Linked DNA regions of Caenorhabditis elegans. The protein of the gene in region 1 purifies or fractionates together with the protein of each later gene. This does not show direct contact. Each region holds a gene or a part of one and is shown on either strand. Other genes may lie near its edges. The genes, in order: sdhb-1, nduf-9, idhg-1 and cex-1.

The links.
Region 2: the proteins of sdhb-1 (region 1) and nduf-9 fractionate together in Caenorhabditis elegans (co-fractionation; one large-scale study listed by BioGRID). This does not show direct contact.
Region 3: the proteins of sdhb-1 (region 1) and idhg-1 fractionate together in Caenorhabditis elegans (co-fractionation; one large-scale study listed by BioGRID). This does not show direct contact.
Region 4: the proteins of sdhb-1 (region 1) and cex-1 fractionate together in Caenorhabditis elegans (co-fractionation; one large-scale study listed by BioGRID). This does not show direct contact.

Annotation. Positions count from the first base shown.
Region 1 is NC_003280.10:9,349,149-9,356,359, forward strand, and holds sdhb-1 (Succinate dehydrogenase [ubiquinone] iron-sulfur subunit, mitochondrial), read right to left. Parts: upstream 3,584-7,211; coding exon 3,514-3,583; intron 2,867-3,513; coding exon 2,718-2,866; intron 2,667-2,717; coding exon 2,433-2,666; intron 2,387-2,432; coding exon 2,258-2,386; intron 2,086-2,257; coding exon 1,861-2,085; intron 1,812-1,860; coding exon 1,722-1,811; 3' UTR 1,566-1,721; downstream 1-1,565. Other genes in the region: cup-15 (Coelomocyte uptake defective protein 15), read left to right, coding at 3,852-3,992, 4,040-4,168, 4,235-4,361, 4,405-4,842, 4,891-5,024. UniProt on the Caenorhabditis elegans protein: Iron-sulfur protein (IP) subunit of succinate dehydrogenase (SDH) that is involved in complex II of the mitochondrial electron transport chain and is responsible for transferring electrons from succinate to ubiquinone (coenzyme Q).
Region 2 is NC_003281.10:3,241,147-3,251,681, reverse strand, and holds nduf-9 (NADH dehydrogenase [ubiquinone] 1 alpha subcomplex subunit 9, mitochondrial), read left to right. Parts: upstream 1-3,106; 5' UTR 3,107-3,108; coding exon 3,109-3,269; intron 3,270-3,398; coding exon 3,399-3,609; intron 3,610-3,898; coding exon 3,899-3,954; intron 3,955-4,519; coding exon 4,520-4,862; intron 4,863-7,823; coding exon 7,824-7,978; intron 7,979-8,583; coding exon 8,584-8,701; intron 8,702-9,566; coding exon 9,567-9,818; 3' UTR 9,819-9,965; downstream 9,966-10,535. Other genes in the region: Y53G8AL.3 (CUB domain-containing protein), read left to right, coding at 48-221; Y53G8AL.4 (Apple domain-containing protein), read left to right, coding at 1,144-1,165, 1,838-1,911, 2,130-2,315; Y53G8AL.1 (FHA domain-containing protein), read right to left, coding at 10,419-10,526.
Region 3 is NC_003281.10:4,566,347-4,574,221, forward strand, and holds idhg-1 (Isocitrate dehydrogenase [NAD] subunit, mitochondrial), read left to right. Parts: upstream 1-2,666; 5' UTR 2,667-2,677; coding exon 2,678-2,803; intron 2,804-2,845; coding exon 2,846-3,058; intron 3,059-3,107; coding exon 3,108-3,236; intron 3,237-3,287; coding exon 3,288-3,392; intron 3,393-3,437; coding exon 3,438-3,650; intron 3,651-3,726; coding exon 3,727-3,870; intron 3,871-3,915; coding exon 3,916-4,104; intron 4,105-4,717; coding exon 4,718-4,789; 3' UTR 4,790-5,519; downstream 5,520-7,875. Other genes in the region: mlcd-1 (Malonyl-CoA decarboxylase, mitochondrial), read right to left, coding at 64-154, 202-307, 355-567, 617-772, 819-994, 1,040-1,266, 1,315-1,437, 1,486-1,620 and 1 more; Serine/threonine-protein kinase sel-5, read right to left, coding at 5,770-5,861, 6,411-6,909, 7,208-7,513, 7,563-7,676.
Region 4 is NC_003280.10:5,446,015-5,452,094, forward strand, and holds cex-1 (Calexcitin-1), read left to right. Parts: upstream 1-1,666; 5' UTR 1,667-1,668; coding exon 1,669-1,783; intron 1,784-1,826; coding exon 1,827-1,879; intron 1,880-1,932; coding exon 1,933-2,253; intron 2,254-2,300; coding exon 2,301-2,426; 3' UTR 2,427-2,620; downstream 2,621-6,080. Other genes in the region: nmr-1 (LITAF domain-containing protein), read right to left, coding at 1-186, 246-328, 459-590.

The DNA.
Region 1 (7,211 bases):
AGTGATCATTGTTCAAAATTTCAAGTCGATATTTTTTCGAAAAACGGTCTGTAACTTGGCTGAACATAAAAATATCAAAAAAATTCTAACTGATAAAATGTGGAAAAATATCTTGCAATTATTATTCATTAACATTTTACTTCTGAAACTCAATCGATGTTGAGTTATGACTGGTACAACAGAAGAGTTCTCAAAAATTCCTGTGATTTTTGGTAAAATGGCTTTTACTCTGTGTAACTCAACAAATAGTTTGAATATTGAAAACTGTAAAGTAATGCAAAAAATATATAAAATATTTTTAAACATTTTATCAGTTGAGTATTTGTTTCCTAGACGTTTATTTTTCAAGATACACAAGTTTGAAGATACGAAATTTGGCGAGTTTATGAAGTTATGTGATCCCCCAGAGAGTCTTGGCTTGCCTTTTGGTGACAGATTGTTTCCAAAATTGATAATTGAATGTAAGAGTTCGAATAACTTTATGAAATTGCACATGACGTAATATTATAAAACATTATGGACCAAGAAAACAAAATTGTACGATATTTATGAACATGAGGAGTTTGATTGTACGAGAAATTGTGATTAAAACCTTTATTCATAAATACAATACTTTATAGAGAAATAATAATTCCGTTTCCACGTCCTTCCAATGTTTCCATAACAGTAGTATGAAAATTTGATCTACATACATACATATCAAGTTCAATTTTAATTTTCAATTTGGGGTAAAAATACACAAATCCCATAGTACTTTAAAAAATTATGAGTCGAATCGCTCAACTGATAAACCGAATAAATCGAACTATCTCGGGTCTTGGCACGAGCGGAACTTTTCTGCAACCGTACCCGTGTTTTGCGCCAAAACTACAGTACCTTTTTAAATAAATAAATATTTTTTTGAATCAAAATCTATGAAAAATCTACGAAAATAAAGTTTGGAACTACAGTATTCTTTAAAGGGCATTCGTTTTGAAATTTCACAAAATATGTCGTGTCGAGACCGGATACCGTATTTTCGGCGCAAAAATGACAAAATTTGAAGTCTGTACATATAATATACGAAAGTTTTTTTCTAATTTTTAAGAAATTAATAGATCTATGATAGTAGTTTTATGATAGTGAAGAAAACATATTGAAAGCAGAAAATTGAAAAGTTCTTGCAATTGACATGGGAAATTTCAAAAGAAAAAAAGGTTTTTCAAACTGAAAATCAAAAAATTTTGTCAATATTTACAACCTTTGTATTTTGTTCTCAGCATCCGGGTAGTTTCAATGTTTTCTAACTTCCCGTAATTAATTTTCCGTCTTAATTTTCCGTCCTCCTGTTCTCATCTTACTTGTCAAGCCAACCTGTCAGTATCATATTATCGAACTAATTATGTTTTTGTCTCGACCCTGGGAGAGGAAGACACACACAAAGGATCATACTTGTTTCAGATTGGGTCGGTAGAGTAAAGAACACGAAAAGGTTAGGAAGAGTTGAATTGATAGAAATGAATGTTCATTGTGCAATGTTTTTCGGGGACTTTTATATTTTAATCAAACGAAATTTTTACAGTTATCTACCAATTCCGTTTATTGTGCAAAAAGAGGAGGCTCGTGGTATAGACATCGGAAAACGGGGATAGATAATTCGGGTATTTCGAAAAGAAGCGACAATCGATCAACCAGAGCTAAATATTACATCGAATCTAGGCAAAACAATGGAATTTTCTTATTTAAAATGCTGATGGCTCAGCGGCTGGCTTCGATGTGAATCCAGTAAGCAGCGATTTGATCTCTCCGATGGCCTTAGCTGGGTTCAAGTGCTGAAATTAATTCGTTTAAGTCGAGATATAAAACAGAGAACACTCTAACTTTTGGGCATGTCTTTGTGCAATTCATGATGGTGTGGCACTTGAAAGCTGAGAAAGAGTCGTGCATACGGTGAAGGCGTTCGGTGGCGTAGTCATCACGAGAATCGATGACCCATCTGTAGGCTTGCATGAGAACAGCTGGACCGAGGTACTTATCAGCATTCCACCAGTAGGATGGGCATGACGTGGAGCAGCAAGCACAGAGAATACACTCGTAGAGACCATCCTAAATATATAAATTACTTTATAATGTTGTGATAATCATGAATAAATTATTGATTTTAGACTTTTATTTCGTTTGAAAAAATGAATGTTTTTCATTTTAAAACTTTTTTGAGTTAAAAATTATGTTATGCTTTTTCAAATACTTCTGCACCAGAAAATATACTGAAACTTACAAGACGATCACGTTCAGCCACACTTTGGTGCATCTGCTTTTCTCCAAGAGTCAATGGGGTCTTCTTTTGAATCCATGGTTGAATAGAGGCATATTGAGCGTAGAAGAGGTTCATATCTGGGACAAGGTCCTAAAATAAAAGGTTTATTCGTTTTTTTTAGATTCTAAAACAATACCTTCACAACGAACATATGTGGAAGTGGGTAGATTTTGGTGCTCTTTGAGGTATCCGAATCGATTTTGCAGATGCAAGCCAAAGTGTTTTGACCTCCGATGTTCATGGCACAGGATCCACAGATTCCTTCACGACAACTTCTTCTGAAAGTCAAAGTTGGATCGACCTCATTCTTGATCTTGATGAGAGCGTCGAGAATCATAGTTCCGCATTGGTCAAGATCAACATCGAATTTCTACAATAACTATTAAATTTTAAAAAAAGAAAAAAAACTTTGAAAATCAACCTGCACAGTTGGCTTGGCTCCTGGTGCTTCTGGGTTGAAACGATAGATCTCGAACGTCTTGATACGGTTTCCGGTCTTCTTGGTCTTGGCGGCTACATCATCAGTTGATGGAAAAGAGGCTTCAGCCGCCGCTGCAGTAGCTGGCGCTCCTGAAACAGTTCCAATAAAATAGTGTTAAAAATGGTGAATTTAAGGGATAAATATTATTCTTGCAACGTTGAGCTCAAACAAAATTAAAAAAACGTTTTTCAAAACATTATTTTTGTTTATTATAAAGTCTTGCTATAAATTTATAAATTCCCTTTTCTCAAATTTTTTGAATTTTAAATTTTGATTCAAGAAATTCCAAAACTGATATTTTTAAATTAACAGAACTTTGAATGATGGTTAATATTTACGGAACAGTATTTGATTTTTAAAAAAAAATCTGCGTTTTTCATCTAATAACACGACCGAGCTTTACAGCTTTCAGTGCCTACGTGTAAAATGGAAAATTTTAGTTTTTGAAGACATAATATAATTTTCTGACATATCCAATTTCATGTAATGTTAGAAAAATTATTCAAAGATAATTAAACAAAATAAAGCTGAACATAAAAAATTGTCGTCTTATTAAAAAATAGTAACGTTGAAAAAGTGCTGCCTACGTGCAAAACACGAAACCTTGTGAAATCTCGGGTAAAGCCTAATATTTCTCGTTAAAAAATGCTTTCCTAAATAATTTATATTTAATTTTTCTAGTATTCCACACGAAGTACCATATTTGATGGAAAATTACCAAAATTAAAAAACGTACCCGAAGCAGCACGAATGGCGTTGGCGGCGAGCTCCGCCGAGTGCAGAAGACGAGCCGAACGGGCCAACATCTGAGATTTATTCAATAAATCAAAGTTTAATAGAAATTAAAATGTAAATACAAAGAAATTTGTTGAAAAACATGAGACAATAATGGACGTGACTATTTATTTTTTGTAACGAGACTCCGAAATAACGCAGTGCATGTTGTTTATAGTTTGAGTGTGGATTTACGGGCAAACATTTATTTTGTTTTTTATTTATTTGTTTGTTTATTTTAGTTTTAAAACTATATTAAAGCTAGAAAATGCTTTCTTTTTAATAAAAATTATTTTGCAGATGGTAAATTCACTTTCAAGGATACTTTTCTGCAGCTTACTTATATTTTCCGTGATTTCTCTTCGAGAAGAGCGGCTCGAAACAGCGCCGATCACTGATGATCCTTGGGATTTGGATGGACCCTGTCAAAAATATGTGGAAGTAAGATTCTTCGAAGTATTTAATGCAACTAAACATCTTTATTTCAGAAACTAGCTGTTGTACAATCGGAAATGGTAGCATGCGCCACAAACTGGTCAATTCCACCTGTAGTTTGCACAAAATGCTTTCAAAACTACATTAATTTCAAACAATTTGAATATGAAACAAAAAACCTGGTGAGTATAATTTGAAAACAATATTTTTTAAAACCGTCTTCACATAAAATATGAATTTTATTACAGAATAATGTCTACTCCCTGGATAATCGAACTTGCTCTCAAGTTATTTATGACAATTATCTGCTCTCGTACAGTACGGATATATCAAAAGCTTTAACTTCAGAAATTTGGGAAAAATCCAGATGTGACTGTGAGTATATCGGCAAAAAAAATCATAAATTCCCATTTTTCAGCCTGCATAACAATTAAATGGAATTTTCCGCAAAACAAATCGGAAGTGTCATTCAGTGAGAGGACAATGCAATTTCAGAACAGAATGTATGAATGGAGAAATTGTGTTGTTAATTACACATCTGGAGGTGTACTGGATGATAATCTTACCAATGGAAGTAAAATCTGTAATCTCTGCAAGACCACCTTTGACGAACTCTTTGGATATTACTGGAAAATCTACACAACTCCAGATGTAGATTTTTGTGTCGACGTGGAGACTACGATGAACGATACAATTCATTTATGGGATGATGTGTGGAAATGTGCTGAAAAACAAGACAGAAATCGTGATTTATTTGGAATTATGATCACTTTTGGAACATTATTGCTGCTCACAGCTCTATTTTATGCTGCCAGCTACATTCAGGGTGGCGGTGAAACGAGGCGTCTTATTCAATGTAAGATTTTCTGTATTCCTTGAAATATATTATATTATTTTCGTTCAGATGCTCGTCTATCAGATCCACATGGCCAAAGATCACGTCTTCTTTCATCGGGAATGTCGGATGCAGATCTTGTTAGTCGTGTTTCTCCAGGATCTTCTGTGTTATACAATGTACCAATCCATCAGACACGATAACAATTGCTCAAATTGATCCAATTCTTATATTTGTTTGAAATTTAATTTCGAAACCTAGTCCTTGCCGAATACGTGCCTGTGTTCTCTTTCCTGTGATGCTCTCTTGCTAACTTTGTTCTTTTTGTATATTTGTGATAAAATTGCAATTCAAATTCAATTACTTCGAATTCTATTTAAATTATTTTGATGTTAATTATCATCACGAATATCTATTTTTCTCAAACTATTTCCCTTGCCTGAACTCTATTTTTCTATTTTCTAACTCTATTTTTCTTCTTTCCAAAATTCTAACTTTCCGATTTCCTGAAGATGCTCCATCTATACACTTCTCTCCCGCAAATTAGACTTAATCTATCTCAAAATTCAGACACTTTCTCACATGTTTCTTTCGAACTTTTTTATGTTGGTTTTCTTCCACTCGCCACAAAAACGAGAAGTCGCCGAAATGACCGTCCTAACGAGCTTGTTAACCGCATGTTGCTCCTGCTCTCCGTGCTCTAACCCAACAATCCGGGTGAAAAAGTGAAAAACGACGACGAGTTCTTCTCCTCCGTCCGGCCAAGAAGGAGGATACACTGTTTGTTCTAACACACACAGAGGGATGCGCGTATATCGTCCGGAGGAGAAGCGGCGGCGCGCGCGCAGCCTTCTTATCGGTCGGGTTCATTCCATGTAAATAGTTGTTGTTCGATGGATGGACACCAGTCAACCGCTTTCACTTTTTTTCTTCCAAATTAGCAATAATTTTTCAACAAAAAAAACATTGCAATTGAAAATTAATAGTCCTCCTGAGCCATTTATAACATCCGAATACGACATCTAAGTAATTTCCTGATAATTTATTCTTGGGAATATTCCGAGACATCCATATCCGGTACCAGGTGTACCAGACAGGTGTTCAAGCTGCTGCAGTCATTCATTCACACGTCGGTGCTCCCAACACTCCCCTCAATACCTTCCTCTCTCCTTTTTTTAGTTCTCGTCAATTTGGCTTCCATGTTTGTCAAATCGGCAACTGCAGCAGCACCTCCTTTTGGTGCCACTCGAATGCAGGAAATGTGTGTGCATTTTTTGTCGATATTTCTCTTATTGAGCCTAGCCGACGAATGTCACCTTGTCCGCTTTTCTAATACATTCGAGATTTCAAAAGCTAAACAATGACAACAAATTGAGCACTACGTTGGTCCCCTGCCATTCCCAAGCTGCTACTTCCTTTTGCTTATGCTTTTGAACATCTTTCTCTTTTCTTACTCTTCTCATCCAATTCTCTTCGTCAACCAATTCACACGCTTCTTGTCAATGTGTACATGTTCGTTTCCCTCCTCCTTCAAAACCAGCTGTTTTCCGTCCAAATCTCATCACTCTACTCCCAATTGATCCTTCGTACTTTTTATGTGGACCAGCTGATCTGATGATACTGCTGATAAAGTACATGTCTAGAGGGCTATTTTAAAAATAAAGTAGATATATTTTCTGAACATTTTGTTTTACTAGAATTGACTTGTAAGTTCTTCTATTGTTCAAAATTAGCGAAACATTTCTTTGACTCCATATCTTGTCTTCAGTCTTTGTTACCGCGATCAAATTCCTTTTCTTTGTATATACTTGTCCTATGATAGTGAACATCTCAGCGCCGCACCGCGAATACCTCGGAATAATCAATCCAAATTAAGGACATTCTTGATAATATTGTGGCGGAAGAGGCATAGGCGATCGTCAATTCATAATAGTCTAGATTTTCGGGGGAGAACTGTCCAACGAGGCGGTAATTTTTGAAAAAGGGAGTGTCCAATTTATACACCTGCTCGCGAATGATTAAAAAGAGCCAGCTGTTTTAACAGAATAATATACAGTAATAAGGATTTATTGAAATCTTTACCTTTTGGATTTCCGCCTGTCACTTCTTATAGACTGTAAAATTAACTTCCGTTGTTCATCCCTTTTCCGGTATAGATTCACACCTAGATACGAGACTTTCGGAGTCTCACAAGAAAGATCAATATCTTTGGCAATGGTTGAGTACACGAAAAGAACGCTTTGATCAGACAGTTATACACAAAGTTAGGTGATCTGATCAGTGTGCACTTGTACTCACAACTTCTCGAGACTCTATTATAGATGAACGTAGATGTTTGCTCATTCAATTTATGTGTGTTTTTTCACTTCAAAGAGTGCACACATAATTTA
Region 2 (10,535 bases), on another chromosome or scaffold:
AACATTTTTGAAAATCAAGATTTTCCGCGGAGTTATGCTTATTCCAGAGAGCCGTCCTCCTAGACGCTGCCCTACAAAACTCGTGCTCCACCGACACATCTGACTGCCTGGATTTCAAGTATGAAGATGTGAACTCAATTTTCTTCACTATTTGCTGGGATTCCAAAAACTATTCGAATGGGCTTTATATTGAAACTTTGTTCGATCAAATATTATTGTAAAAAATCGCAAAAATCCATAATTGTGTTAATTATCAAATGTAAAATTCCATGCTCAACTTTTTTACAATTTAAAGTTTTTTGATATCTCCAACCGTTAATGAGATACGGGCGTTTGAACTTGGCGAAGAGAGAGAGAAAGAGAAGGGGGAGAGACGCAGACGACGAGAGCGCGCGCGCCGCCTGCGTCTCCCCTCCCCACACTCTCTCGTCACCGCTAACTTAAAACGCATGTATCGGGAGATAACTAGGTTCGAAGTCTGAATTTTGAGATTTTTGAGTTTTGTTTTAGGAAATTAGAATTTTATTGTAACAGGAAAGGATGTATTAACTGATTTTTCTGTGAGAAAAAAGTATAAAAAAGTTTGGAAAAAATTTTTAAAAATGTCCAAAAAAATTTTTTTTAGATAACTTATACCGTGAAATTTTTTCAAATTTCCACTATTTCCAATTACTCTTTTCAAAAATACCCTCTTAATCAATTTTTTCGCTCCTTCACGCCTTCAAGCCCCTATGACGTCACCAATCCCCAGTGAAAGGGGCCCATGCCTACCCCTGCTAAAAACTACAATATACCCCTAAAACCATCCCGTGAGTAATCAAAAATCGCGTCTAGCGCAAGCTTCCGGCTGAAAAATGCAAAAATCCCAAAAAAAACCGCCCAAAATCGTGCAAAATCTCAGAAAACTGGGCGGAAGAGGACACAAATTCGCCTCTTTGGAAGAGGAAATTACGTCGTATTGTATCGAATGACACCTCTCCCGCGCAACACGATATATATAGGGGACCTTTAAATGGAATAAGACCTATTTGCTAAATTTGGAAATTTGTTGGAAAAAAAAATTTTCTAAACAAAAAAATTTTTGTTTCGGAAATTTTTTTTCCAAAAGATTTTTCCGAAATTTTCTACTATTTTTCATCTAAAATGAACGGATTAAACCACTTATGTAAGTTATTGTTGGATTCAGGACCCACGTGGCCTAGAAACCCCATATTCGGGCTCAGTGGCCTAGAAAATCCAGAAAAGTTAGGCCACGCATGGTTTTTAGCAGAAAACCGTTTTTTTTTTCAATTATGTTTCGTAGAAAACATGCATAATTTCATGGATTCCCCAAATTTTTCTTAATTTTTCAGACATGGCTGAGAAAAAAAACCGGAAAAGTTAGGCCATGGGAAATTTTTCACAAAAAGTGAAATTTTTCCGTGAAGAATCTATTTTTTTCAGTTTTAGTATGAAAAATTTGAAAAATTTCGTTGCTTTTCAATAAAAAACTAATTTTCAGACGTGGCCTAGAAAAATAACCGGAAAAGTTAGGCCACGCAGCATTTTTCTAGAAAATTGCAAATTTTTCGAGAAACGCGTTATGTCTTCACTTTTAATTTTGAAAAACGTGCTTAATTTGCTTTTTAATCAAATTTTTTCAAATTTTAAGACGTGGCCAAGAAAAACCAGCTGAAAAAATAGGCCACGAAATTTTTCTTCGAAAAGCTCCATTTTTCCGCGATTTCGCCGCTGGAAATTAACTTTCGGCCAACGTTTCTGTGAAAATTATTTTTTAAAACTCTAAATATCTGCCAAAAAACCACTGTGGCCTAAACAATTCCATTGATTTTTCCAGTATTCTTCTTACTTATCGTCACGTTTGCCGGATTTTCATTTTCCCGCCCCGACCACCATTCGAGGAACTGCAAAGTAAGTGCGCTCTAGCGAACAACGAAGCTGCAAACGCGCTCCATTGAGAATTTTGCTTAAATGGTGGAAATCTCGGGGGTTTCTGGAGATATATCGATTTTTATTCGATATTTCGCTGAAAAAAATTGAAAAATTTGAGAAAAATCATTCAAAACCCTAGTTTTTCGCCGATTTTTTCCGCATTTTTTCAAGAATTCGGAATATTTTTTGATTTCCAGGCTTACCGACGACCGGCTCTAAACGAAGTGCTCACGAGAATATGCCTACTTTGCCATGAAATGTTTTCAGTCGACCAGCCGAATCTAGCCGCCGAGTGCAGCTCGAATTGCTTCAGGAATCCGGCGTTTAACAAGTGTCTCAACTTTTTTAGGCCGAAATTTTCTCCTTTTCTGGGTTCCACGTGATAAATAAATTGGTTTTAATCGTTAAATTTGAATTTTAATTGACTAAAATTGGTTAAATCGAGAAAAAAAAAGAAAAGAACCACAGTGCGGAGTCGAACCCCGGTGTGTTGCGTGAAAGGCAAAAGAGTTACCAGCAAAGCCACAAAGCAATGTGAACGTAATTTTGAGAGGCGTATACATTGTAGCCATAAATGCTTATTATCTCGATAGCGTATAATATTAATAATTGAGAATTTTGATGTCATTTTCAGTTTAATCTACCAGTATTCTTCTGTAATTTCGCACATTTTGAAGAAATCCCTTGAAAACTTCGCATTTCTATTTAATTCAAAGATTTTAATAATTTTTCTTGAATGTAAAACAAGAAAAGTAATATTTCATTAATTTTTCAACAATTTAGATTGAAAACTCTCTTTAAAACCGCCTTTCTCACCAATTTTTGCTAATTTCAAAGCTTCTCATTCCTCCTTGGAGTACGGTCATCAATCCCCGCCCTTCCAAGTGCGCATTCGAGTCCGCAAACGTCAAACCCGACGCCATATTGCGTACAGGCCAAATTATTTATTTCGGCACCGCGTACTTCATTTTCAGCCATTTTTAGCGGTTTTTCCAGATTTTTTCGCTATTTTCGGTGCTTTTTTGATAAAAAATCGATTTTTTCGACCGGAAAAGCTATTTTTAGCTGGAAAAAATCCCGAAAAAACGCAGAAAACCCATTTAATTCTTAAAAAGTCTTTAAAAATCTTTAAAAATCTTTAAACAATTGCAAATCTCGATTTTCCTAATTTCAGCCATGCTATCAGTGTTGGGTAGATCCGGCTTGGGCGCCCGGCAGGCGGTTTCGGTCGTTGGAAGTCAGAATTTCAGCAGCGCGGTCACCTCCGCCGAAAATGCTCATCCGGAGCCACGTGTCAGCTCTCAGAGTGCTCAATTCAGAAAGGGAGCCGGTGGAAGGTACAGGAAAAGCCTAAGAATGATTTGAAACTGGAAAATGTGGAAAAAATCTAGGAAAAATTGAAAAAACATTGAAAAAAAATCAATTTTTTCCCAAAAAAAATCGTTAAAAATTCCAAATTTTTGCAGAGCCTCCTTCTCCGGCAATGTGGTGACCGTATTCGGTGCGTCAGGCTTCTTGGGACTTCCAGTTGTCAATAAATTCGCGAAAAATGGCTCACAAATCATTATTCCGTATCGCCAGGATCCGTATTACATGAGAGAGCACAAAGTGCTCGGCGAGCTCGGACAAGTCCTCTATTTTCCATTTGAGCTGATGGATGAGGAGAGCATTCGAAAGGTATTAAAATTCGTGGAAATTGAGAGAAAAATCGAGTTTTCTAGGTGAAAATCGAGAAAAATTGGATTTTTCTCTAGAAAATCCAGAAAAAATAGAGTTTTCTCAGTGAAAATCGAGAAAAAATGGGTTTTTCTTTAGAAAATTCAGAAAAAATAGAGTTTTCTCAGTGAAAATCGAGAAAAATTAGGTTTTTTCTCTAGAAAATTCCGAAAAAAAAAGAGTTTTCTAGGTGAAAATCGAGAAAAATTGGATTTTTCTCTAGAAAATCCAGAAAAAATCAATTTTTCAGGCTGTAAAGTACTCGAACGTCGTCATCAACTTGATCGGAACTCGTGTGCCGACTGGGTGAGGAAATTGCAGATTTTTGAGCGGAAAAATTCACAAAATATGCCGGAAATTCAAAAAATTCAAATTTCGCGCCGTTTTTGACCAAATAAATCACTCTTTTTCGCTGAAAATTCGAAAAAATGCCTGAAAAACCTTCAAAATGTGGAATTTAACCCTTTTTTCCTACTGAAAATTCAAAAAATAAATTTTTTTACACCAAATTATCATTCAAAATTCAAAAAAAAAGCTCTTTTTTTCCAGTTTTTTCATTGAAAAACTCAAAATTCCTCACTTTTTCCAACTGAAAATCAATTAAAAATTGAAAAATCCCCTTAAATTTTGAATTTGGCTCCACTTTTTGGCTAAAAATTTGAAAAATGTCCGAAAAATCTTCAAAATTTTGAGTTTCGCGCCGTTTTTTTCACTGAAAATTCAAAAAATATTTTTAAAAAATTCAAAAAAAACTAAATTGCTCAATTTTTCTCCAAAATTTTCGAGAAAACTGCCATTTTCTATTGAAAAATTCAAATTTCCCCACTTTTTCCTTCTAAAAATCCCAATTTTAAGCCATTTTTCCTTGCAGAAAGTACAATTACTATGACGTCAACGACACGGGAGCCCGCCGTTTGGCTCGAATTTGCAAAGAAATGGGTGTGGAGAAATTTGTGCATTTGTCGGCTCTCGGAGCAACTACACAACCACAAAAGGGACATTTTGTCGCAAAATCGCAATTTCTTCATTCAAAAGGACTCGGAGAAGTTGCTGTACGTGAAGAATTCCCAGAAGCAACAATTATTCGCCCATCTGTGATCTACGGTGAATTGGATGGATTTATTCAATATTATGTGTCAAGATGGCGAAAAACTCCATTGGATTATGTGTATTTGTACAAGAAGGGAGAAGAAACGTATAAAATGCCGATTTGGGTACGGAATTGGCCGATAATTCATGAAAAATGACCTAAAATACGTGAAAATTGGCCGAAAATGACTGAAAATGGCTGAAATTTGGCACAAAATTAAATATTTTAACGAAAAACTCACAAAAACCGAGATTTTTTGAAAATTTACGATTTTCACATTAAAAATTGTCAAAAAAATTTTATTTTCCGTTAATATTGATTAAAATTATAGAAAAATCCATTTTCAACCGAATTTTGAACGAAATTAATCAAAATTTCATAAAATACATTTTAAAAAAAGCTCAAAATACGTGAAATTCGCCAAAAATGCTGAACAATTACTTAAAATTCAAAAAAATTGAAGTAATTTGACCAAAAAACTGAATTTTAGTCAATAAAAATTCAAAAATGGCTGAAAATTGTTTGAATATTGAAAATTGGGCGAAAATTCATGAAAAATGACCTAAAATACGTGAAAATCGGCCAAAAATGACGAAAAAAAATTTTTTTTTAAAGTAGAAAATTTCATGAAAATCGAGAAAAATGGTGTAATTTGACCTAATAACTGAATTTTAAAAATAAAAAGTCGAAAATCCGTGAAAATCGGTCTAAATCTACGAAATTTCATGAAAATTCGCTTGAAATTGAGAAAAATGACTCAAAATTCATTACAATAAATCCAAATGAACTGAAAAATGTCAAAATTCATAAAAATTGGCCTAATACAAATAAAATGAGTCCAAATATTTATGAAAAGTCTCGAAATTTCATATAAAGTTGCTCAAAATACGTGAAATTCGCTAAAAATTGCTGGAATTTATTTAATTTGCTTAAAAATTAGAAAAAAATTTCAAAATTCAAGGAAATTGGCATAAGTCCGTCTAAAAATTGAATTTTAAATTTAAAAAGTCAAAAATTCCAACAAATCGGCCAAAAATTACTGAAAATTGTTCAAAATATGACCAATTTTTGTTTGAAAATCGGAAAAATTACTCAAAATTCGAGAAACGCTGTAATTTGCGAAATTTTATGAAAAAAAAGCCTTAAAACCATTTAAATTGGCCAAAAATGACTGAAAATGGCTGAAATTTGGCACAAAATTGAAAATTTTCGGAATTTCACCCAAAATTTCATAAAATTTGATAAAACTAGTCGAAAATTGGTAGAATTTCGGCAAAAATCGTATTTTCACACAGAAAATTGTCAAAAAATTGCTAAAAATGACAAATTTTGACTGAAAAACTTGAATTTTTGCTTAAATTTCATCAAAATGTAAAAATCGGTAAAATTCCAGAAAAATTCACCGAAATTTGCAAATTTTGGCTTAAAATTGTCCATTTTTGCCGAAAAAAAATTGATGGTAGGCGGCGGTAGGCATAAAGTAGGCACAATTTTTTTTTTGCGAAAAAATGCAAAAAATGTCCAAATTTCGCATATTTTGACTCAAAACCTCGGCCAAAAATGGTGTAATTTGACCTAATAACTGAATTTTAAAAATAAAAAGTCGAAAATCCGTGAAAATCGGTCTAAATCTACGAAATTTCATGAAAATTCGCTTGAAATTGAAAAAAATGACTCAAAATTCATTACAATAAATCCAAATGAACTGAAAAATGTCAAAATTCATAAAAATTGGCTTTTAATACAATTAAAATGAGTCCAAATATTTATGAAAAGTCTCGAAATTTCATATAAAGTTGCTCAAAATATGTGAAATTCGCTAAAAATTGATGGAATTTATTTAATTTGCTTAAAAATTAGAGAAAAAAAATTTCAAAATTCAAGGAAATGAGGCTTAAAGTTACCTATAAACGCTGGAATTTGCGAAATTTTATGAAAAAAAGCTTTAAAACCATTTAAATTGTCCAAAAATGACTGAAAATGGCTGAAATTTGGCACAAAACTGAAAATTTTCGGAATTTCACCCAAAATTTGATAAAACTAGTCGAAAATTGGTAGAATTTTGGCAAAAATCGTTTTCTCCTCAAAAATGTAACAAAATTTTCGATTTTCACACAGAAAATTGTCAAAAAATTGCTAAAAATGACAAATTTTGACTGAAAATCTCGAATTTTTGCTTAAATTCCATCAAAAATGATGATTTTTTCAGAAAAATTCACCGAAATTTGCAAATTTTGGCTTAAAATTGTCCATTTCTGCCGAAAAAAAATTGATGGTAGGCATAAGTAGGCACCATTTTATTGCGAAAAATGACCAAATTTTGGATATTTTGACTCAAAACCTTGAATTTTTGCCAAAATTCAATTCATTTTTCGCACAATTTCAGTAAAAATAACTCAAAATTTACCATTTTTTGCCGAATTTTCAACGAAATTGATCAAAATTTCGAGAAAATCGGCGAAAAATCACTAAAAAAATCTCGATTTTCTTGCAGGTTGCTTTTTTAGTTTTTAGTTTTAGTTTAAAAAAGAAAAATCGGCCAAAAATGAGTGAAAATTGTTCAAAATAGGCCCAATTTGTTTGAAAATTCAAAAAATTACTCGAAATACATACAATTCGGCCTAAAACTGCCTATAAACGGTGGAATTTGCGAAAATAAGCGAAATAAAAAAAAAAGCTTTAAAAACGTTTAAATTGGCCAAAAATGACAAAAAATGGCTGAAATTTGGTCCAAAATTGAAAATTTTGAAGAAAATTGACGATTTTTGACGAAAAACATACAAAAAATCGTTTAAAAATGTTATCAATTCCAATTTTCGGTAATTTCCCATATTCACTTGAAAAAAATTGTTGAAACATTGCTAAAAATGGCAAGTATATATATTGAATTTTTTGGTTAAATTCCATTAAAAAACGGTATTTTCGCGCGAAATTTCATTAAAAGGAGTGAAAATCCGTAAAATTTCAAAAAAAATTCACAGAAATTTGCAAATTTTGGCTCAAAATTTACCATTTTTTGCCGAGTTTTCAACGAAATTGATCAAAATTTCGAGAAAATTGGCGAAAAATTCCGATTTTCTTGCAGGTTGGAGACGTTGCCGCCGGAATTCAAAGTGCTGTAAATGATCCAACAGCAAAAGGACATACTTATGAATTTGTTGGACCACACTGCTATCAATTGTCTGAATTGATTGATTTCATGTACAAAAAAGCGCATTGTTTGTCTGATTTTGGATTCAGGTACCCGGTTTTTCGATTTTCCCGCCGAAAATTGGCCTAAAATGAAGGAAAATTGCTAATTTTTGGGCAAAAAAATCATGAAAATTGATAATTTTTAACGAGAAATTCATGAAAATTGGACTTAAAAATCGTGAAAACTGGGTCTCGCCACGAAAACTTTATTTTTTTCAAATTTAAAGGCACATGGGTTGTGCATCAATCAGGAAATTTTGAAAATTCGAATTCTCCTCAAAATTCTAGGCTTGTAGCTTTAATCGGGTCTCGCAACGAAAATTTCACGAGTACAGTAACCCGCGAGATATTATTCCGTGGCGAGACCTTAAAAAATCAAAAAAATCAATATTTTCACTGAAAATTGATGATTTTTAACGTGAACTTTATGAAAATTGGCTAAAAAATATAAATTTAGACGTAAAAATCGTGAAAACTACATTTTTTTTTGGGTCTCGCCACGAAAAAGTTGAAAAAAAAAAATTTCTTGAGTACAGTAACCCGCGAGGTATTGTTTCGTGGCGGCGGGACCCAGGCGTGAAATTTCGAGAAAAATCGCGAATTTTTCAATTATTTTCGTGGCGGGACCCGAGAAAAAGCTCAAATTTTTGCAGATACAAGCGTCACGGAATGCCGGATCCATATTTCATGGCTCTCACAATGGCCACCGAACTCTATGGTAAAGTGTTCAAGTGTAAAGTTCCACTCAACAGAGAATGGATGGAGTTTGTGGTAGGTTTTAGGGCTTAAAATGAGCAAAAACGCCTCAAATTTTAGATTTTTTTAATTAAAAATCGGTTTTCCGCCAAAAATCGGGCAATTTTTACGGAAAAATCCATTTTTTAAGTGAAAAACACTTAAAAAAAACTGATTTTTGAGTCAAAAAATTGGAAATTTCGGAAAGCCTACCTACGCCTGCCTTGTGCCTACCGTTGAATTGTTAAATCAGGTAGGCGTAGGCACAATTTTGAGGAATTTTTTTTGTAGAAGTGGCGGAAACAACCCGATTTTCATCAAAAAAATTCGAAAAAAATCGAAAATTTTTTCAAAATTATCGATTTTTAGTCGAAAAATGGATTTTATTGATTTTTTTTTTTGAAAAAAAAATTTAGCGAATAAAATCGATAATTTACGGAAATTATCGATTTTTTGTTGATTTTCAAAAAATCGATAAATTCCGATTTTCCGACAAAAATTCAAAATTTTCTGAAAATTATCGATTTTTTTTGCTATTTTTGTAATTTTCAGATAAAAATCGGAATTTTTTTAAAAGAAAAATCGAATATAAAATCTTAAAAAAATAAAAAAAATTTAATATTTTTAAAAATTACCGATTTTTTGTCGGAAAAGTGATTTTATCGATTTTTTGTTGAAAAATTTCCGCGGAATTTTTTTTGAAACAAAGATTTCTGAAAATTATTGATTTTTTTTTCTATTTTTCGCATTTTTCAATTGAAAATCGGAATTGTTGAAAAAAAATCGCATAGAAAAATTTCCACCGATAATTTTTGAAAATTATCGATTTTTGATTAAAAAATTCGCGAAAAAATCGATAATTTACGGAAATTATTGATTTTTTCTAATTTTGCATTTTCAGGAAGTACAATCGGACATTTTGACGGGCGAAAGAACTCTCGCCGACCTCGGAGTCCGCCGATTGACTGAATTCGAATTGGCTGGTGGACAACAAGCATTTTATCGATCATTTAATCGATATTTCGAAGAACAATATGGAGAACTTCCGGCTCCATCACTTCCACTTCGTTCACCACCACTTACCAAAAAGAACACTGGCCGAGGAGCAACTGGAATCAAGTCGGAAACGAGCAAAAATGTCGCTTTTAATTAAGATTTTTTTTAATCGATTGTTTTTTCGATTTCTGTGTTGTCTTTGGTAGTTTAAATAGAGCGATTTTAATTTTTTTTTGGTTCTAAATTTTTTTTCTAGAAAAAACTGAATTTTGTATTTATACGCGTAAATGAATCGAGAATTTTGATGGGAAAAATTGGTAGATTTGCAAAAATTCTGAAAAAAAATTATAAGAATCCTGAGAAATTATGAAAAATAAGAAAAAAGAGCACAAAAAATCAGTAAAATCAAATTTCCTTTAAAAAATCGATAATTTTCAAAAATTATCGATTTTTGTCCGAAAATGAACGAAAAATCGATAATTTTTGGTAATTATTGACTTTTTTCGGAAAAATAAACTAAATCAGATTTTAATTTGGGCTGTTCCGAAAATTAGCAAAACAAATCAATAATTCCTTTTTTTTCCGACAAAAAATGGATTTCTTTTCGAAAATTATCGATTTTTAAATAAATTTTCACACAGGAACTCTACAAAAAATAATTTAATTAATTCAATTATTGCTTTATTTTTGTATATATCCGACATGAAAGAAATTAAAAAACACAGAAAAATCGATAAAATAACCTATAAAAAATCAATCAATAAAGTATAAAAGGCGGCCGATTTCGCAGAGTCTCCCGAATTTTTTGATCTTCACTTTTCGAGCGGCGTTTCATTGGTGGTGAGAAGTAACGGCGGATTGGATACTGAAAAAT
Region 3 (7,875 bases), on another chromosome or scaffold:
TGACACATTAACTAGACTAAATTCTTGAAACTCGAATACATATGAGGAGCTGGGTGAAAAGATTCAGAAGATATCCAAAACTTTCTGATTAATCGCCATCTTTTTGTGTTCAGTGTAAGCTGCACTGTTCTCGTGAACCTTCTCCAAATCGTATCTGAAAATTAAATTTTTAGACTCAAAAAAGGTTCGACCGAGTCATACCTGTAGTTTACCATAATTCCAAAACTGTTATTGATCCCTCTATGACTCGTATCTCCATTCCAATTCAGTCTATACAACTCTGCGCCGTTTCTAATGTGGAAGTTTGCTTAAAATAATTTTTTTTTCAATGCTTATCGATAAAATCATGCTTACCAACTGAATTTAAAGCCATTCCATTTCGTTTTGCATTACAAAGATAATGAGCACACGCGTACATCAAAATGTGCTGGATTGCATTGAGCTGCTCCTTTTTCGTTTTTTCATTGCTTATGACTTTCAGTAGAGTTTCGGTTGCTTCTACTTCGTTCATTTCCCTTTCAGATATATCAGAAATCCAATTGACAACCTTTTCATTCATAATTGAAGCTGAAAAAACATTGAAAGTAACTCAATTGTCTAAAAATGTACAGCTTACGATATTCTGAATTCCCTTTCAGATTTCTGATAAGCCAAGGTCGGAAACCAGGAATCGGAGATAATGTTGAATGAGTTGTGACTGATGGAACATCTTTTTGAAGTTTAGTGGCGACTTTCTTGATGAGCATATTTCCGAGATCAATACCAGAAAGACCTGAAAACGAATAAAACATGTAATGAATACATTTCTTAAATTTTACCAGGCTGTGTAGAAGTGATTGAATAATAAATTGCAGTTGTTTGATCTTCTTCTTTTCCAGTCGGTGCTCCTCTTTTTGTGATTTCTTGTACACTATCCGCTATCTCATCAACTAATGCCACGTGAACCATCACAAGTGGGTTCCGGGGAAGAGCTTCGTGGGAAAAATAGAAACATCTGAGAAAATGAAATTTTAGTTTTTTATTTTTATTTCATAATTACCGTCTCAACGGACCAAGACGTTTTCTGAAATCTGAAAGTCCTCTAACTGGATGAACTGCCTCATATTCGGCGACTTTCTGTAGAATATCTCCAGGAGATGACCACGTAAGTCGTTCCAATTTTAGATTTCCTAAAGAAAACCATGAAGTTAATACTTCTCTAGTGGCCAGTTCAATGTGACGGAGATATGATGTTGTAGTTTTGTCAGTTTCCCGTTTTAGAAGTGCCTGAAAATAATTATATATTCGATGCTAATTTTATTTTAATTTTAATACCAAAATATTAGCCCTCATTTCACAGACTTGCATAACTCCTCCCGGTAAATTTCCAATTGATTTTATCAAATTCACATAAGAAGCTGTTGCTGATGTTCTTACTTCCGGGTACATTTGATCATTCTGAACTTTACAATTTTTGGTCATACGATGTCAATGATAATAACCAACCTTAGAATATAGAGAAATCGCATGATTTAGGGCTTCTTTGTTTACACCATAGTTTGTGACGAGATCTACGAAAATCGATTTTCGAGTTTCTGGCGTGGAATTGGCATATAATTTGGAAAACTTCTCGCTATAAGTCTGAAAAATAAAATTTTTTCAAATAATTGGAAAATATAGTTCAACTTACGAGTAACTTATCTCCACTTGTTCGATTTGTGAGTCCGTCTAAAGTAGATAATAATGTGGAAGAATATCGAATCGAGTAAAAATGTGAATATCGACGAAGCATTATTTACATCAACCTACAAAATAATTATCTATGGGGGAAAATAACAGTTTCATAGCGCGAAACATTCTCGAAACAGTCCGGGAGCATGTAAATCAGCAAAACGAACAAATAAAAAGATAATCAAGTAACAGTTAACGTTTTAAATAGTAGTTAATAAAATAATAAAGACTTTGTAACTTCAGCCAAAACTATTTCTTGGATACCGATTTCTGTATAAGAAATAGACGCTATTTTTGGAAAAAGGCGTGCCAGGTTCTACATGAAACAACTATTTCAAAGAGTTTTCAATGAAACAAACTTTAAAGAACAATCCTAAGACATTTATTTCTACACAAAAATCACTAATAGATCACCTGATAAGCGCTTGAGACAACCAACAAAACAAAACAACGAAGCAACAACAATTCGGCGGCGAAAATCAATCAAGCGCCAACTGCTGTTCGAATTCCCGGATTTCCCCGGCAGTTGGCTTGAATTGCAATCTAGACTAGAAGTAAACACAAACCAATGAACCCTCAAATAGAGAGAAAAAGCAAAAATATTTGAAATAGATAGAAATGAACGAAAATGGACAAAATAAACATAAAAGACGAAAATGAAAATGTCGCGCGGCGGAATTGCGAGAAACACGTGCGGCGCTTGCAAATCAATCGGTCGGCTCGTTCCGCCCTCTTTTTTTGTGCATATAATTTCTGAAAATTATCTGTTTAGTGATAAATCTGAGTTTTCATAATGATAATGATGATATCGGGAAGATTTAATGTTTTTTGTTAAAGTTTTGAAATATACTATACCCTTCTATTTAAAAAATTGGCTACTATTCTGACATGCACTTTTAAAAGTACATTTTTAAACTGTTGTTTTTCTAGTAAATTCCATTTTTTTAACATTTCAGGTAAAAACAAGATGTCGAGCAACGTCCTCGGTCATACACTTCGCTCTTCGAAGAATGTCGTGCAAAAGGCGTTCGTCGCGACTTCACCGAACTCCGATATGCTCCGATTCCGTTCTCCAGTTCTTCAAACTAACACAGTAAGTAATTCATTTTTATCTGCTATTAATATCAATTTTCAGACTAAGCTGGCTCGTTATGGAGGACGTCACAACGTCACAGTCTTGCCAGGAGATGGAATTGGACCAGAAATGCTCCATCATGTCGAGAGAATCCTTTCAGCAGTTCAAGCTCCAGTAGATTTCGAAGTGGTTAATTTGACCTCAAAGGAAGATGCATCTGAAGATCTTGCTGAGGCTATCACTGCTATCAAGAGAAATGGTGTTGCTTTGAAGGTATTTTTGTTGAAAGATTAAAATCAAATTTAATTTTTTTTTTTTGAAGGGAAACATTGAAACTAAGTTTGATAACCCAAGCTTCGTTTCCCGAAACTTGGAACTTCGTCGTCAACTCAATCTTTACGCAAACGTTCTTCACTGTTCCACTATTCCAACTGTTCCAAGCAGACACACTGTAAGAATTTTTTTAAATCGATTTGTACAAATTTCAAATGAAAAGCTTTAGGGAATCGATATGGTTATCATCCGTGAGAATACTGAAGGCGAGTACTCTGGAAATGAGCACGAAGCCGTTAATGCTCCACATCCTCGTGTTGTCGAATCTTTGAAGGTTGGGATTATCAACTGAGATTTAGTCCTAATTTCAAATTTAAAGGTTGTTACTCGCGAAAAATCGGAACAAATTACTCGTTTTGCATTCCAATTCGCAAAGAAATATGGAAGAAAGAAGGTTACTGCTGTTCACAAGGCCAACATTCAAAAGTTGGGAGACGGTCTTTTCCTTAAAGTAGCCACTGATATCGCCAAGGCCGAGTATCCAGATATTGAATTCAATGCTATGATTGTCGATAATGCTTCCATGCAGTTGGTGGGTTGTTTATTTATTCATCAAAATAAATGTTCTGAAAAAAGACGAATAATTAAAAATCCTTATTTATTTCCAGGTTTCACGCCCACAACAATTCGATGTTATGTTAATGCCAAATCTCTATGGAAACATCATTTCAAACATTGCTTGTGGACTCGTCGGAGGTCCAGGACTTGTTTCTGGAATGAACATTGGAGAAGATTACGCCGTCTTTGAAACAGTTAGCATATTGATGAAAATATTAAATAACATTTGTTTTTTTCAGGGAACCCGTAACACCGGAACCACTCTTGCTGGAAAAGATCTTGCCAATCCAACTGCGTTCATCCGTGCCGCCGTTGATATGCTTCGTTTCCTCGGACTTCAATCACACGCCGATATGATCTCCGATTCATTGTTCCGTACGCTTGTTGATAAGAGAATTCACACCGCTGATATTGGAGGAACTTCTAAGGTAAGAATTTCATTAATTTTCTAAAGTTGTATATATTAAATTCTTACCTTTTCTTTATTTAAAAGTAGAGTAGAGTCGTTTTGGAATTTTGCTCAAGATGATATCCATAAATGGACCGTAATTTAAAAATTTATACAATTTTTCTAATATTTTGCAAAATTAAAAAATAAGATAAGTGTTTCTGAATTTCCGCGCGAATAAGTAGAATAGTTTTTTTGCGTTTTTCGGCTGTACTGAGTGATTACTCTTAATTTTGTTTTTTTAGTATTTGGTATAAAACACACATACATTTTCCGCAAAGAAATTTATGAATTATCGAGTTTTAGGCTAATTTTTGAAATGTTTTCGAATTTATTTCGGTTTATGAAGTTTTCTTTGCGGAAAAAATATTTGAAAAATTGCCGGAAAAGGCAAAAATGTCGGAACTCACATTTTTTATTCTTGCAAAATTGGAAAAATCATAGAAAAAATGTTATAAATTTTTTTACAGTTATTATGGTCCATTTTCGATGATTTTAAGCAAAACTTCAAAACGACTTCACTTTTTAGAACATTAACTTTATAAGTACTTTTTAAAAATGCACTACAAAACTTTAATTTAATAAATTTTCAGTCATCGGAACTCGTTCAATCAGTACTCGACTTCATCGAGAAGGAGCTCGAGGACCGCAACTACCGTGTCTAATTTCTACCTGATAATCGAAAGTTTGAAACATCCCACATAGTGGCTAGCTTTACCCTTACGTTCTTTTCCTCTGTTTTTTTTTCGATTAATCCATGATTCGTAGCATAATGCGTTACTCATTGTGCTCTTTCTCTGTTTGACCCCGTTGACTGAACGTTTCCGCCTGATGTCTCTTATCTTGTTCCTTTCTTCCTCATCTCTGTACCCACAATTTTCTTTGGATTTTAATTTTTTCTGATTGTTTGAATTTTTCTCATTTCCAGTATAGTACAATATTATAAAATTGGTTTAGTGAAATTCGATACTCTGTTAATAATGTTAATATTAGGTTACTGTCACAAAGTTAAGTACTCCCCCCACCAATATGCTCTTAACCTAATTAGTCAATACTTGAGAGCTGCTTGAAAAAAGGCGGAGTTTACTACTGTAGCTACTGTATCTTTTTGAATGCTCCCTAGCTCACTTTAATATTATTCATTTTTTGCCACAACTATTCTATTCTTTATTTCACCAGACTATCTAGGAAATATTGAACTAATACAAATTTTAGTTCAATATACCGGATGGTCTGGTGAAAGCAACATGCGTTGTAAGTTCTTTTTCAAAATCAAATGTCGATCGAACATTTCAATTCGAAATAATTTATTTCGGGTCAGAAAAATTGTACTAAAACTTGCAGAAAAAAAGTTGAAAAAAGAATTAATAAATTACAGAAAATATGCATATGAAACTGGGAGATTGAGTCTATCACAACTACATGCGTGGGTGGATACCAAAATATGAAAATTACAAGGAAAGCATATTCCATATTATACATATCATAAGTACATTGGCGGGAAAATACCAAAAGAAAATAAATAATTGAGAAAATAAGTGATTCTAAATTTGACACAACGACAACTTTGGGGGGAGGGTGAATTGCAAATCACTAAAAAGAACAAATTGTGTAATATATAAAAAGAAATATGAAAAATTCCAGTTTACAAGTCGGTTGGATCATCATGATCTTCCGGTTGGAAGGATGTATTCACAAATGATGCATTTTTGCCAGTCAGTGACGATTTTTTATCTTCTGAAACAGTAAATTTTAATTTTAAATAAAACATTAGTTTTTCTATACGGAAGGGTCGTCGTAAATTATTCTGTTTAAAAAAACCAAAAATTTCAGTTTCTTTTTGAAACAAACTTTAAAATTTTGGTCAGTTTTATTTTTTTAGCGATCGGAAATTTTTTAAAAGAAAAGATCGAAACTTTATTACTTTATTTACAAACAAATATATTGAATTTCATTAGAAAAATATGAAAATTTCTTTTAAAAATTTGATTTTTTGAAACCTAGCCTCATATTTTGGCTATTTTCATATTATCGGATATTCCAGTTTTTCCGAAATTGTTTGTTAACCTTTTTTAAAAGATTAACTCTAAAAAAGTTTTGAAAAATATAAATTATTTTCAGAAAAGTAGGGACTAGATGTATCAAAAAAGGTTGAATTTCATTACAAAAATATTAAATTTTCTTTAAAATCAAAGAACTCAAAAATCTTAAACTCTTTTTTCGTATTTCATAACTTTCTTTTTCAGAATTTTTTGTTAAAAACCGACAAAAAATCTGAAAACTGACTGGATGATTTTTTAACAACTGGAGGCATTGGAGAAGAGAACTGCAAATCATTTGCAACAATTGATGGATGTGATGATCGTAATCCAAATGTGCTCTTTTTCTTTTTCTTATTCGAAAAAGTTGTTGCTCCATCATTCGTCCATATTTCAGCTTCAGATCCATCGGTTTCAGGTTCAGAGGATCCTTTTTCTCGATATTCTTCTAATTTTAATTTATCCTTCTTCCCATCTTTTTTCTCTTTTTTCTTCTCCTTTTTCAACAATTTCTCCTTTTTACCCAAAGCCACTGGAATCGTTGCAGTCGTCTCTTGTGTTGGAGAAGCTTCTGTTGGTTTCTTTGGAAGAGGTGGTGGTGGTGGATCCGTAGGTGCGCCAACAGAAATTAAAGTTCCAATAATTGGCTCACAAGGGACTGTATCAGAGTCTCGAACAGCTTCAGGAAACGATGTATTTGACATTGATGGAATTATTGAAACAGGAGCAGCTGTGGGTAGATCCGGCTGAAAAGGGCTATTATAAAATCTCAAAAATAACTTTAAAAATGAGTTTTTATAAGCTTTTCTACATTACATTTTTTGGCGAAAGTTAGTTTTTTTTCATCGAAAAATATTAAAATTCTACAGCAACGAAAGTTTGAAACTACAGTACTATTTAAAGGCTGACGCCTTTTTTCATTTGACTCAAGTCTGGCGCTTCGAGACCGAGTACCGTAAAATTTCGCGTTATTTTTGTTACATTTTTTTTTTGATTCAAAATAAGAAGAATTTTAAAATATTTTTACAATTTTTCTGTACGAACCTTAAATCGACAAACCAACGGAGTTGCTTGTCTTGGTAATGTGGCTGGTGCAAAGACGTTTTGATGTTCAGACGCAGGTCTTTCAAATACCGTATCTCTCCGATCCGTCCACCGATCTCCAAGATCCCAGTCATCATCCAAGTTATTTTTTGCTGTGGGCAACGGAGCAGTGATGATCATTTTCGGAGTAAGCTCATCTCGGAGAAATGGATTCGTGATAGGATTCTGTGTATGCGGAGTTGATGTTCCAATGAATAGTGGTGGGTAATTAGTAGATGAAGATGAGAATGATGAGATCAGTTCGTGCTGTAATTTTTAAAGATTACAATTTTTGAATGTAATCGAAAAAGCATACATCATCGTCATCCTCCAATCCATCATCTTCTAATAAAGGACGACTTCCACCTTCTCCATCTTCACTTCCAACTGTATTTTGAGAGTCCTCGTCGTGAGAAGTGTCACCGCCTCGCTGAAAAAATCATTGAAAAACTTTTTTTGAAGAAATTAAAGTTATTGTTTTATTTTTAAAAATGTTTTAAATTGTTTAAAAATTTGTTTTTGGTGACAGGCATTTACCAATGAATTAAAAAATATTTGGTACAATTTTTTTTAATTCGGAACTTTTCTTCGATAAGAAATGTTCCAAATAAATAAATATCGTTTTTTTT
Region 4 (6,080 bases), 3.9 Mb from region 1:
GCATCTCTAACCATTACTCCAACAACTGGAAGTTTGTAAAATGAAAGTGTATATGCTGATGATGTAACCAAATCAATAAATCTTGAAGATGATGTCAGTAATGGAGAAAATATAACAGAAGCCAATGAGTGATTGAGCATCTGGCTGCACACAATATCCTGAGTCAATTCCAGACGATTATCTCCACTGAATATAAGAAATGTCTTTCTCGGGGGAAAAGCTCAACAAATAATAATTTCGAAAACCTTTTTGCATCTACAAAAGCTGCGGAAATAGTGTCATTCCCCAAGTGATATGATGTGCTTCCAAAAACTTCCACGAATGCCGCCTGAAAGAAATTAAGAAGAAAAGTTGAAAATATGATATTTTGTGAATATGAATATGCTAATTTAAAAGTTTGGAGCTTCTTCTATAATGCCGAGTTTGTAAGTTTTTAAAGTAAAAATTTCAAAACTTACCGTAACGGAAACTTTCAATTCTTTGAAAGTTTCTTGATTCGGCTCAGAAACAATTAAAACTGATACTTTATAGTCTATTGTGTATCCCAATTGTAAAAATATCCAAATAAATATAACTGATATTCGGAACATATCTGTAACAAAACTAAAGTTTGTCGTGTTCCAAACAGAAGCAAGATAATTGAAATTTTGGAACTTTAAACGGGTTTTTAAATGGAAAGTAAAACGAGGTAGTAGAAGGATGGAAATAAGAGAAAAGTGGCAGTGCTCTTCTCTTTTCAACAAAAAAACGTATTCTACTTTCACCTCTTCTCCTTCCGAATAAGAGAAAAGAAGACGAAGAAAGATGATTTGGTGGGCACATTTGAGCAAAAGGAAAACGGGCGAAATTGAGTAAAGGAAATGGGTTGAAAAATGGGTGGAGCAGTGAGAAAGAGCACTGGATACTAGTTGATTAAATTATTTCAAAATTCAAATTGTTCTTGAACGGTTATCAGCGGATATTACAAAATCCGTTCCAAAAAATTTTTAGAACTCTATCGAAGAAATTGAAATTTTAAACGTTTTTTTGGAAATTCTGAAAATATGTCAACTTTTTGTTGCTTCTGTAATAAAAAATTACCACTAAGACCTTCAAACCAAACTGTGTCACGAATATTTAGATCTTTCTACTTTCAGATCACGACGTTTGAACGATATGCTCAAAATACAAAACATTAAAATTCAAGTTTTGGGCATTTTTCTTTTTCAAACTTTTTCAAAAGATAAATTATTTTATTAGTTCAGAAGGGTATATACGAGAAGTATACCACTTGATTTTTTATTTCAAAAGCGACACTGGAGCTCCTACCCCGTTCTGACATATGTCTATTCAGAATTTCTTGGGTTCATCATAACATCATAAGCATTCATCTAAAAATACCTCCTCAAAATCCTATTATTTTTTCGATTTCCTTGTTTCCTATGAATCACATAAGTATTCCGTGTAATATCTCGTGCTGTGTGCGGGCGTCGCCGCAAGGAGGAGCTATGATCATCACAAAAGAGCACTTCAATTCGTACACAGAGGGGCGGAGTCAGACATTCTAAAGTGAGATAAAAGCATCTTCACAACCCATGGAATGTTCATTTCTAGATATTTTTTCTTGATTTCTAGACTTTCTCAAGTTCATAATTTTATAATTTTCAGTCAAATCTTATACTTTCAGAAATGGTTGTTGCAAAGCCTACAGCAGCAGTTTCCATTGAAGATCTTATCAAGAAACATTCCGATGTTGATCCGTTCCTTGTCAAGAAGTGGGAACGCATTTTCTCACTATTTTTTGGTTAGTTTTCCCACTCTTTTTTACTTTCAATTATATGTTTCAGATAGAAATGCTTCTCATCAAGTCGATTGGGGAGATTTTTACTTGGTTGTCAAGGTGAGAATTATTTTTAGAATTCTAAATTCTATTATTTTCTTTTAACCTTCCAGAAAGTCCGTGACATTTACGGAGCTGAATCAGTTCAAACTGGCTTTGCCAAGAAATCTCTTGCTGCTCTCTGGGAAGGACTGTGCTCCATTGCTGATGCTGATAAGGATCAATTGATCTCGATTGATGAATGGATCGGACTTTTGAAGAAGACCGATGCGAAGACTGAACCAAAATGGTTCAAGGACTATCAGAACTTTATGTTCAAACTTTTTGATGTTTCCTGTGATGGAGTCATGGATCTTGCCGAGTATACCGATGGAATGAGTACATATGGATTTGATCAATCCGAGTGTGATGCAGCTTTCCATAAGTTTTCAGTGGTGGGATTTAAATATTTTTTTGATTAATTTAAAAGGAATTATTTCAGGACAAGAAAGGTCAATACGTTCCACAAATGAAGCCAGAGACCTGGAACACATACTTCCATCAGTTGTTCTACTCAACAAATAAATCTGACGTTGGAAATCATCTCTTCGGAATTATTGACTTTTAAATTTTCCTTGCTCTATACCATGTACATTGTTCATCCCCCACACCCTTAAAATATTCTGAAAACCCTTCACTTTCCACTACTTTTCTAATGCTTTACAACATATAGTATTATTTTTGAACATACAACCTTTAATTTGTCTCTGACACCAGATGTGCTTGAGCATAAAAATTCAGATAAAATCATGACAAACAAGTAATTTTGATGAATGATCCTCCAGATGTTTGGGTAAAATAAAAAGTTTCCGAGAAACTTTAAATTTTTATAGTGGCTCGGGAAAACTCGGGATTGTTTGTTGGTTGGATTGTTAGAAGGGAAAGAGCATAACATACAATGGTTTAATTCTTTTTGCTGACTTTTCAGTAAAGACTTGGCAGTAAAAACTGGAAGCTTACGAAAAGCCGCTGAATGAAGCCATTGTATTTTGCTCTTAGAAGCAGTAACTATATTTTTGCGGTTTCAAAACATATTTGAGATTCAATAAATTGAGAAATTATAGAGCACAAGTGTCGCAAAAAATAGAGGCGCTCGTCATTTGGCTCCAGTTTCTCGCCCTAGTTTGGCCCAGAAATTATTAACGCGAATCAGAAGTTGGCCAAACTTGGGCAAAAGCTGAACTCTGGGATAACGTGCCAAAAAATATTTTTTGAGCCGCGCCTGAGCAAGAAACCGGAGCCAAATGCCAAGCGAGTCAAGATATCTGTTTAATTCAAAAATAATTTATCGAAAGCCTTACTCGTAATGACTGTAAAATTCCTCCTATTCAAAAAGTTGGCTCAATTCCAAGGGTACTTCTTGTTTACAAACAACTACGTGTGTTTTCAGGTATCAAATAACCTAAAAACATTTCTTCTATATCTAAAATAGCTTACCTCCCACCCCAACTGACCCATTTTCTCTCTGTCTCCCACCTGATCTAAACTTATAACAGACAACACATGTGCGTCCATTATTTTTGTGACACTGCGTGGGAAAGAGTGGACCACCAGCTGACAATCCCGGCGATCAGTGATCAAGGGATCCAGAGATTGGGAGAAGATAATAAAATGAATTTAATGGATAATGGAATGGCTTTATCGTGTTTACGAGAAAAAAAAAGAACAGAGGGGAATTTCAGAATGCGATAGTTTAGGAAATTTGAAATTGGAACTTACTTTAGAATCACCGCTTTTCTTCTAGAATCGTGCATCCTTGGGGAGCCTTTTAATCTCAGAAATACTTTTTAAAAAACCAATTTTTACAGTTATAGGCTACGGTAAACACACATACAAACTACATTTTACAGCAATTACCCCTGATCATTGAATCTTTTTTGACGCCCTTTGTAGTCTAAATTATCATTAAAAAGAAGGTCATATCTTCCTGATGACCACTTGGACAATTTGTCGAATTGGGTGGCAGCGATGTCACTTTCTTGCAGAAATGAGATGAACAAAACATGGGGAATCTGTGACTGTGACCGGTGGGAATTTCTGATTTGTTGTTTTGTTTTCTATGTGAAGTTGTTGATAATTGTGTAAAGTATGGGGAGAACAACTGATTGCTGGAGAAAGCATAGGGGAGTAAATTACTTTAAAACAACTATTCCTTTTTTGAAAAAAAAAAGAAAACAAGCAAAAATTCCCAAGTTTACAATTGGGCGGAGGCTTTGTAAAAATGTGATCCTTGGTGAATTTTCTATGGTAGTTCATTTACTTCTGCTTCAGATTTTTTAATCTGAAAGAAAACGTTCGAAAAAATCGCAAAGGAATATTCGCTGAGGATTTAAATTTTTAAAAGCCCCCATTATATTTTCTAAATTTGTGCAAATTGGTTATTGAGCAACTAAAAATTGTTCAAATAGGTTTTTCTGAATATAAATGATTTTTCTATAAATTTAACAGTGTACGAATATTTGTAAAAAGAAAATATACATATTTTATGTAGCCTTGCTTATATTCATAATCTGTTCAAAATATATGTAATTAACAAAATTTAAATTTTGCGTTTTTCAAAGTTCAAAAATATGCCTTGTGTTCAAAAAGTTTTACCAAAATCGCACGTTCTATATCTCAATTTTTCAAATCTTACCACCCACTTGCCCTTTTGATCATTTTGAATCACCGTCTGTAGAAGATAATATCCAACTGAAAACTTTACCATATAATCACCACATTTTCTCGGCGGGATGTCAAATTCTTTTGAAAGTAGTATAACCTTGTACTATGTGTATTGCTGTTTTACCTCTACCGCCATTTAAAGGGGAAAATAAACAAATGTTTCCTTCTCCTTTTCTAAATTGTTTCGACAATTCCTGTTTCATTTGGTAAATGTTTACTAAATCTAAGAAACGGATCATTTGCATATTTTACTTTTTGAATCTCTCTACATCAACTAGTTTCTCTTTTCTAAATGACTATTCGACTATTTATGATTGGTTTCCGTTTGAATAAGCTCTCAAGAAGTATATAACAATTATTTTCCAAACTTTTTAACCACATTTTGTCTTTTTTTTTAGAAATTAAAAAAGTTTTCATCCGCGTCTCTGTTCTACATTAACTGAATAATCAGCACAAAAATTTACTGAATAATCTCAAAATCAACCTTGGGCGCAATTTTCGATTCATAAAAGTACAAGCTTCCATCCAGATACCACTTGAAACATAATAAGAAAGAGATTCACATTGAATTCTCACTTTCCATGCAATTATTTCAACTAATCGGCATCCACAAAAAGAAGAAAAAGAACACTAATAATTAACCATGTAATCGTCACCTGCCTGACACCTCATTCTAATTTCAATTCGTCAAGCAGTTCGATGTTCTTTTTTCCTGCTGACCTCCTCTCTCTCTCAGTGTCCACTTATTTTTATTATACAGTCATCACATCCCCGCAAAATGTGTCCAAATGTCTACTTGTCTACCTGAACAATTTGTTGTTACTTTTGCTTAGTTTTGTTGTGATTATTGTGATTCTTGAAGATTGGTCATTGGAATCTCTTCTTTTATTGAAATGATATCATGAATGGTCAAGGTTGCAAATCAGTCCTTTTATGTTCTAGCTAGCCGATTTTACGGCTACTTCCAAATTCCAAATTGAGAGATATTCAAGAATATGGTTTCAATTTCTCAATTCAATTTTTATAGCGTCTCCAACATTAAATTCTGAGTTTGGTTCCATAATCATCAAACTATACGTCTCCTGTCTTTTGTCGCTGACCTACATCCATCAGCTGGTATCACTTGTTCCCTTTTATTTGTACTATTCCTTTACAATATTTGGTTTTCTTTTGTCGTTCAAAGTGAGACCACAACCATTTAAAAAACATGTCTCTCAATTTATGCATCTCAATTCTGAACAGATGAAAGTGTCTTCGCTTTTTTTATTCTCATTTCCTCTAATGCGAAATGTTCTTCATTTTTTAAAGATGCACAACTTAAATTGATTGAAGAATTAAAATGTTCAACTGAAAATATTGATCTTCGACAGTTTTCAATGAATTTATTTCTGAATAATTGTTGTAGGCAACACGGGACATAATTACAGAAAATGCCTATATCGTAAATATTTCAGAAAAAAATTTCAGAAAAACTGTAAAATTGCTAAATTTGGGATTTGCAATTTTATAGTTTTTCAGAAATTTCTAAAGATTTTCGCATATCAGAGTTTGGTGCAAT